2 linked regions of the Rattus norvegicus genome follow. The protein of the gene in region 1 binds, or shares a complex with, the protein of each later gene. Links are inferred from orthologs where the notes say so. Each region holds a gene or a part of one and is shown on either strand. Other genes may lie near its edges.

What was found. The genes of interacting proteins can lie anywhere in the genome.
Region 2: Phldb2 (region 1) and Ppfibp1 share a complex: the UniProt entries of both Homo sapiens proteins name them as parts of the cortical microtubule stabilization complex. The link is inferred for Rattus norvegicus from reciprocal best matches to the Homo sapiens genes PHLDB2 and PPFIBP1.

The regions. Positions count from the first base shown.
Region 1 is NC_086029.1:68,320,432-68,324,588, forward strand, and holds the start of Phldb2 (pleckstrin homology-like domain family B member 2), read left to right. Parts: upstream 1-1,306; 5' UTR 1,307-1,547; intron 1,548-4,157. UniProt on the Homo sapiens protein: Seems to be involved in the assembly of the postsynaptic apparatus. May play a role in acetyl-choline receptor (AChR) aggregation in the postsynaptic membrane.
Region 2 is NC_086022.1:181,537,979-181,542,267, reverse strand, and holds the start of Ppfibp1 (liprin-beta-1), read right to left. Parts: upstream 2,803-4,289; 5' UTR 2,634-2,802; intron 1-2,633. UniProt on the Homo sapiens protein: May regulate the disassembly of focal adhesions. Did not bind receptor-like tyrosine phosphatases type 2A.

The DNA of each region.
Region 1 (4,157 bases):
AAACAACACACATTCTTTATCTTACAGGTCTCAAATCAAAGGTTTAAAATGAACCATTAAGACCAGTCTCTCTCTCTCTCTCTCTCTCTCTCTCTCTCTCTCTCTCTCTCTCTCTCTCTCTCTCTCTCTGTCTCTCTCTCTCTCTCTCATCTAGAAGGTATCTAAATTCCTTGACTTAGGATCTTTGTCCATCTCCAGCAAGTTAACATTGCATTTTTAATATTTGACTCTGACTCTGACGTTACATGGCTTTTGATTTTAACCTCTTATGAATATATAAGATTCTGATTGAAAAAAGCTTCTGATTACAATAAGCTCCCATCTCAGGTTCCTTCATGCAGAAGATCCCACCATTTTCTAAAGAACTATTAGCAATCAGTGGCTGCTGGAAACTAGAGAAGCATTTCCTTTAGTGGTGTAATCACTGATGAGTAGTCTATATTCCTGTATGTAATCCTAAGTAAATTAATCCCCCCTCCTCCATCGCTTCCTCTCCCCCTCCCCCCACATACAACATACAACATAATAAAGTATGCAATGTTCATCTTTACTATGTAATGCACTGGTTCTCAACTTTCCTAATGCTGTGACCCTTTAATGCAATTCCTCATGGGTTGGTGATCTCCAACCATAACAAATTTTCACTGTACTTCACAACTGTAATTTTACTACTGTTATGAATCACAATATAAATATTTGATATGCAGTATACCTGATATGTGACTCCCCCAAAGAGTTCATGACCCACAGGCTGAAAACTTCTGCTATGAGGTAGCATATTCACAGTTCTGCAAATCAGACCTGGACACCGTCAGGGAGATGTTAGCCTATTTTAGACTATGTCATGGGAAGATCACTGCTGGCATTACTTTGAGAGCAGAGCTGGTTCTAATCCCAGTTTTAGCACCTCCTTCTCATTGTGCAACCAGCACTCCATTGAGCCTTTTCTCTCTCACCATAAAACTGTAACATAGGTGATGTGTCCAACATATACCACATTTTCAATACATACAACCCTATTTCTTCAAAGAACTGTAAGACGGTTCTTGAAAAACTCAATAGAAGAAATTCTATTACTAAACTAGAGGGTTAATAAAGGATCTTCCAAATTCCCTTCTGAGGCCATTAAGACATAGCAGCGTTAAAGCTTTCCTTTCTCCTATTGTTCTCAAGACCTCTTGTCTGCAGACCCAGTGTCAAAGTAATCTCAGCAGATTGTCTACAGCTCTCAGCCTCTGCTTTCTGCCAACCCCTCCCGGTCCTGCTCTCCGGTTCTGCCATCCAGCTCTCTGGTTGGATTTGAGTAGGCCTGGTGTGTATTGATTGGTCAGGTCTGCAGCAGAGACCAGCAGAGATTCCCTCCTTCACATCTGTCCACACGCCTGACCATAAGAAAGTTGCTGCCTGTGACTAGCAGAGAAGGAGGCAAAGGGTTACCTCCCTTTCTCTCTTGAGGAAGAGTGGAAGCTTCTGCCTCAGCCCTAGACTCTCCAGCTGAGCTGGGAAGGAAGCCAGAAAAGACACCGGATAGGAAAGTAACAAAGGAGGTAGGTAACCAACCATTGTTCCTTCTCTCAAGATCACAGAACAAATACCTTGCCTAACCTCATAACTAGGCCATCTTTGACATTTGCCTGCTGAAGGAGAGGTGGTAGATATCCCTGTATGTCAGGAAAATTCAGTTTCTTGTCCATTAATATAACCTGGAAGGCAAGTTGTGTTTTCTACTATCTTCTCTCACCTCTGAAAGTTGTTGACTGTTCCGCTACAAGTTTCAAGTTTTGTGGAGATTTTTCCCCCTTTCATTATAGAATATCCTATCTGTGATTGATTGACAAGTTTCCATTGATGGTGATTCCACCAACATAGCTCTTGGCTCCAGAACTTTGCTTTTATATGTTTCTTTCTGCCTACAAGATGATGCCAGAGAAGACAGTGCATATAATTCCGAAGACTGTTAACTTCTAGTGACAAGATTTCTCAGGAAATCACACTTTCGTGCTTTGGAACCTAAGGGGTTAAAAAGTCCCGCCATTCCTGGAGCAGAATCAAGCCTATTTACCCAAGCTTATCACCAGAGCAGCCAGGTCAATCATTTACTGACTCAGCACTGTTTCTTACCCGTAAAGGAGGACCACCAAAGTCCTTGCCTGACTGAGTGCCCCCACAAAACATACATATACACATTGTTATATAGAAAGTATTCACAGAAGCCAGCAAGAGCCCATATGCTTTTCTAACCCCTATACGTCTTTGTTCTTTCCAGAGTGGTAAGCACCCAGGAACCATATCAGCTCAGTGATTCATTAACTCAATCAAGACTCACTCACAGGACCAAAGCCTCGTTTCACCTGAAGCACAAAAAGTTGTAGCTTTAGAGAGAGCCTCAGCTGTCACTGGAGACCCAGGAAAGGTAGTTGAATGATCCAACAAGACAATAGCTTATTCTTGGAGGAGAGAAGAGTATCTAGAAACAATCGGAAGGGGATAGAAATGTCCTCAATTTTACACATTCCAAAAACTTTATTTTTAACAAATACGATTCACTCTTCTTTGGTCTGAATGTAACCCCACTAGTTGGAGGAGTGGTTTATCGTGACTACACAGACCTGGTAGGCCTATGTAATGATTTCTAGCTCTTACAATTATTACTCAGGTGGTTTGTGGTGGTGGTGGTGCCCGATTCTTCTGAACTCCATTTAGGAAACAGATTGACCCATGCACTGCAAAGTGATGTGTGATACTTATTTGGTCAATCATTTATGGCTAGGAGGTGAATACCCCCAGGTGAGGACTGTGACTGGAATTTTTAGTGGCTTGGCAGTTAATTAGATGCAGGAATTGAGACCACCGCAGACATTAAACCCCATTTGAAATTTGGACCATGTCTGAGCCACCTCCCAGGAGTGTCTTGGAAAATAACCATTTGTGAATTTTGTGATGATGCTCTGCAAAACGTTAAGTGTATCTGTAGCTGTAACCTCAAGTGTGTCTGTAAATAGCACAAGTGACAGAGGTGGGCAAAGGCTTCAGTGCATTCAAATAAACCGGCAGATTTGCCTACATGCTGCAGACTGCCTTCTTGTGCTTACATATCTTCTCTGTGTAACATCTAGCTCATACTGAGAAAAACGTCAGTGCAGTAGATCAGGCTCTTCTGTGCATTGTACATTAGCTAAAGAGAAATTATTGTTAAGACTGACTAGTTTAGTGTAGGCGCTGTCATTTTTTGTACACATTAGAAAGTTAGACCCGTGAAAGTCAATTAATTTTTTCCTTGACAATGCCGTGGTCAGCCAGAATCAAACTCATTTCTACCTTGTTCCCAACCTGTTGTCTTTCTCCTGAGTCAAAGTCGAGTCTCTCAGAACACTTGAGGACACACAGTAACACATTCCAGAGAGCCAAGCCAGCAAGGTAAACAAGCAATGCTCACCAACCCAGATTCTGCACTAGTCTGTGGCTGTGCTCTACCTAAGGCCAGTGGGTGTCGCTACTACAGAATGGCAAAAGCAGCCAATTTCATGCCTCTCAGATAGAAGATAAGAAAAGGAAACCAGCAGAGAGAAAAAGGATGTCCGGCCAGGTGTAACAGTCACTAGAGCATTCTGGATTCTAGTGAACTTAGTTCATTCTGAACTTAGGACTCAGCCCTTTCATTTCATGCCCTCAAACCCAGCGGTCCCTGCTGGAAGTGTTAGCCAGAAAAGGAAATGTTACTGTGTTTCTGGGACCTCAAAAGTTTACCATTTCATGTATTCCAGCTAATGCCTCCTCATCTAAACCCAGGGATTTGGTAAAATGAGGCTTTTACTAGTCAGGAGCCATTAGCAATCCATTCTGTTAAAGCTCCAATATAACCGACTACATTGATACACATTAGCCTGGAGTCTGTCTTGGCTTAAGGTTTCTCTTGCTGTGAAGAGACTCCAAGAATATGGCAAGTCTTATAAAGAATAATATTTATGCAGGGCTGGCTTACGGTCTCAGAGGTTTAGTCCATCATGGTGTTGTGTAGGCAGGCATGGTACTTAACTAGGTGATGAGAGTTCTACATCTGAATCAGCAGGAGGCAGGGAAAGGAGAGAGAGAGAGAGAGAGAGACAAATATAGGAACTGGCTTGAACATTTGAAACTTCAAAGCCTATTCTCAGTGA
Region 2 (4,289 bases), on another chromosome or scaffold:
AAAATGAAACAAAAATCAAAATGTTCTGTTCCCATAAAGCACATACTCCCTTTACAAAAATCCTATTCTTGCTGGGTATGATGGCACAAACATGTAATCCCAGGGGGACAAAAGAAGAAACGAAGTTCAAGGCCAGCCTAGGCAACATGGTAAGATCCTATCTCAAAGAAGAAAGAGGGGAGAGAGGACCGCCTTGCCAAAACGGTTGTTCTTCATAAGTCCTGTGCTGCTTAGCTAGTCCAGGAACTAAGAACAATGCTGTTTGAAAACAAAGCAAACAACACACAAATGTCCTTCCCAGTTCTGGCCATAGAGATGTCTTTTAAATTCCATTTTTAAAATCCTCTATGCCCACACTTCCTGACTTGGGTTTACTAGACATAATGTAATGACTTTCTTTCCCCAGCTCCTGGAAATGCCCTTTAGGTCGGAGTCTGGGATGCGGCTTCTGACTAACAATAAAGTCCACTCCCACTTCCTCCAGACCTGGCAACCAGGGAATCCTCACTGCTGAGGAACCCCTGCCCTCAAAGAGGAAACTTGCTTCCCTCAGAAGCCTCAGCTACATGCTCTAAGAGAAAACCTTGAAACACTGACAGCCAGTGTTGGAATCAGCGTGCTCAAAGTTAATTTTCCCCCAGAAAGCCAGCTGCACTCAGTGACCCATGAGCAGAAAATCTCCAAGCAAGAAAGGGGGTTTGAAACAAGAAATAAAATCAGAATCCTACCAATAGACAATTGCTTTCTCTGGTTAACAAACAGACCTTTTGAGTTCCCTTCACATTGCTGTCAGTTCTTACTGAAAGCAAGGGTTTGTTTTGGTCCCACGTGTTGGAAAAGTCATATTCCCATTATTAAGTCTGTATAGCATGCTCCCTCCCTCCCCCTACATTTCCCTGTTAAAAACTCCTTTCCCAGACAGTAATGCTGCCACGGGCTTCTAACCCTAGGACTCAGGAAGCAGAGACAGGCAGATTTCAGTGAGTTTGAGGCCTGAGTGGTCTACCCTATGCTGTGGCTCAGGCCAGACACAGCTACTTAGTAAAATCCTGTTTCAAAAATAAAAAGTAATAAAACAAAATTTAAACTCCTTTCTCTGAAAGTGAACCCTGAAAACACAACTATTAACCTTTTCTCAAGAAGCCCCAGGCAAGATCTAAATAGTCAGCCGCCTTCCTAACTGCTCTGGTGTATAAACACCAACAGAGTTGTAGAACTGTGCCCCCAAGAAACCAGTTTCCCCCTAAGCTACGAATATTCCAAGTGAGTTTCTCACACCCTAACTGGACTCTGCAAAAGAGTATTTTATACTGATATGTAAGAATAACACTCATGTTCTTTTACTTAAACAATACATGATAGGATGTAGGGAAACTGAGAAAATATAAAACTATTTTCTCTTTACTTTCTGGGAAGATGTCTCACAAATATTTGTGGCACTTTTAAATACTCCCCACTCCTGTTCCCACCTGCACATACACTTCCCTGCTCGTTCTGTAGTAGTGTAGGAGGCTGGGTTCAAGCACATGTCCCTGATGGGCATTCTCTTGCAATATGGGAAACTGAGATTCAGGGTCTGAGCGCACTTTCCAAGACTGGAGCTCTGCGGGCATCATATAGAGAATCTGAGGTTCCACTACAGCTCCCTGACTGGAATCTGAGGTATATTATAGGGAATCTGGGGTGTAGCGTCCCACTACAGTTCCTAAATGAAGTCTGTGGTATTATTGTAGGAAGTCCAGGGTGTGGGGTAAAATTCCCTAACTGGGATCTGTGGTATGGTGGGAATTCTGGGGTTCCCCGATTGGAGCTCTGTGTTATCAGAGGCTATGGTGTGGTGGTGGTGGGGTGGTGGGGGCAGGTGGGGGGGGGGGGGTGTGAAATGGGCTTACACTATCCTGGATGAGTCTGTGGCATGGTGAGGTGCCCATGGTGTAAGACTGTGTGCAAGTCCCTGACTAGAGTTCCGTGGTACTAGAATTCTGGGGTGTTTGGGTGCCAGCACACTTCCCTGACTGGATGGACCCTGTGGTGTGGTGGGGAGTCCAGGTGAGAGCTGGAAGCACACTTCCCTGACTGGAGGCTGTAGTGTGGTGGGGATTCTGGGGTGTGGGGTCCCAGCACACTTCCCTGATTGGAGTTCTGTGGTATCAAAGTCTATGGTGTGGTGGAGGGACGAGTGTGAGATGGGCTCACACTATCCCGGCTGGAGACTATGGGTGTGTATGGGGGGGGGGGGGGTAAGGGAGTCTGGGTGTGAGCTGGAAACACACTTCCCTAACTGGAGTCTGTAGGAGGGAGTCCGGGTGTGAATTGGGAGCACACTTCCCTAACTGAAGACTGTGGTGTGAAGGAAGGGGAGACCCGGGTGTGAGCTGGGAACACGCTTCCCTGACTGGAGTCTGTGGAAGGGAGTCTGGGTGTGAGCTGGGAGCACACTTCCCTGATTGGAGTCTGTGGGGGGAGTCCGGGCACACTTGCCTGACTGGAGTTCTGTGCTGTGGGGAGTCCGGGTGCGGGAACCGAGGACCCGGACGAGCCCTTCCTGTCACCCCGAGGCTGCCCCCCACTCCCTAGAGATCCCCGGGAACGCGGGCGCGGGTCGCAGAAGGAACCGCCCGCGGCTGGCTTACCTGAGGCGAAGGGCCGCCGAGCTCCACAAGTTGCAGTTCCGCCTCCCGGCACCCGCCCGGCTGCCAGATCGCCGCTCCCGTCGCGGCCGCCCCCGCGCCCTACACGGCGACAGGAGCCGGGGCCCGAGCACAGCGCCCGGCTGACATCACCGCCGCCCAGGTGCCGCCTCCCCTCGGTCCTCCTCGGCCCGCCGCCCCGCCCCCGGCGGGAACCAGCCCTGGGGGCGGAGGGGGCAGGGCCTTGCTCCTGCGGCTCGCTGATTGGCCGGGCGCGCGGTCACTCCGAGGCGCCGCCGGGTCTCCCACATTCCTGGCGGAGCCGGGCAGAGCTGGGAGTGGGCGTCGGTGGGGAGCGCGGCCGGTCGGATGCGGTCCGCAGGGCGCGGATAAAGGGCTGTGGAGAGCCGGGCGGTTGGTCGCTGCTCTTCCCGGGTCGGAAGCGACGCCCACCCCGAAAGACCGCCTCTGTGTCGTGGACTGGGCGGACGTGGGCGGCGAGGTTATAAAGTAAAGGCCCCGGAGGTCTCCTGCCCTGCAGCGCGGGCCGGGGTCAGTCCGGGAGAAACTGAGGACTTGCAGAGTCTAGGTAGACTGGGATCCCAGACGTGGCCACCCTAGCTCCGCGTGGTCATCTGGCGGCGCTCAACCACGTGGCTGCTTTTGCACTTAGTGATAAGACAAAAAAAATAAAAATAAAAACAAGCTCCCAGAGAATAAAATGGACTCTCCAGAGGGTGGGGGAAATATTTTACTATGTACATTTGGTTTGGTTCCTCTCTCTCTCTCTCTCCCTCTCTCTCTCTCTCTCTCCCCTGTGATACACATCAAGGCTGATTTTCAAATTGTTATCTTCCTAGGAGCTGAGATTACGGACCCATGCTACCAAACTCAGCACCAACCTGCTTTTTAACGATTTTTTTTTTAATTTGTCTTGTTTTTGGTTTGTCTTGTCTTTAAACTGTGTGGACCAGCCGTGAACAGCCAGCTGTCTGCCAGCCTCTGCCTCTAAGATTGCTGAAATCAAAGATGTGCACCACCACACCTAGCTATTTTTGTTATTTTGTTTAATTATGTGTATGTATGTGTACTCATGGAGGCTAGAAGCCTTGAGTTCTGACAGTCATGAGGTAGGGGCTGTGGGCTGAACTCAGTGCAAAAAGAGCAGAAGGGCTTAACTGCTTGGACATCTCCTTAGCCCCTGCGCTGAACTTTTTAAGTGCCATAAGGTTGCTGTTCTGATGCACAACCGAAAAGGGAGAACCCTCACAACTGAGTTCAAACCACATGGTAATAATTACTGTTGAACCAATTGCAGCGACTGAGCTAACAATTAAGAATTAACTACTATTTACCCTCTGGTGGATATCAGCTGTCTAATCCTCTTGGCTGCAAAGTCGGGCAGATTCTCAGGAGCCCTTCTTTCAGTTTCCCCTGTCAGGCCCAGGACAGAACTGAATGTCCAAAAGCAGCTTTCCCGATACAGAACATGATGTAGGTGTCAAACTATATCCACCACCATCTAGAAGCACAATTAATCGATTAGTTTCTGTTAGCTTTTCGTTGGCTATGGGTCCCCCCACCCTAGGAGCAGGAGGCAGTGTGTTTGTTTGTATGTTGATTGGGGAGAGGGGGGGTGATTTTAGTTTTTTTGAGACA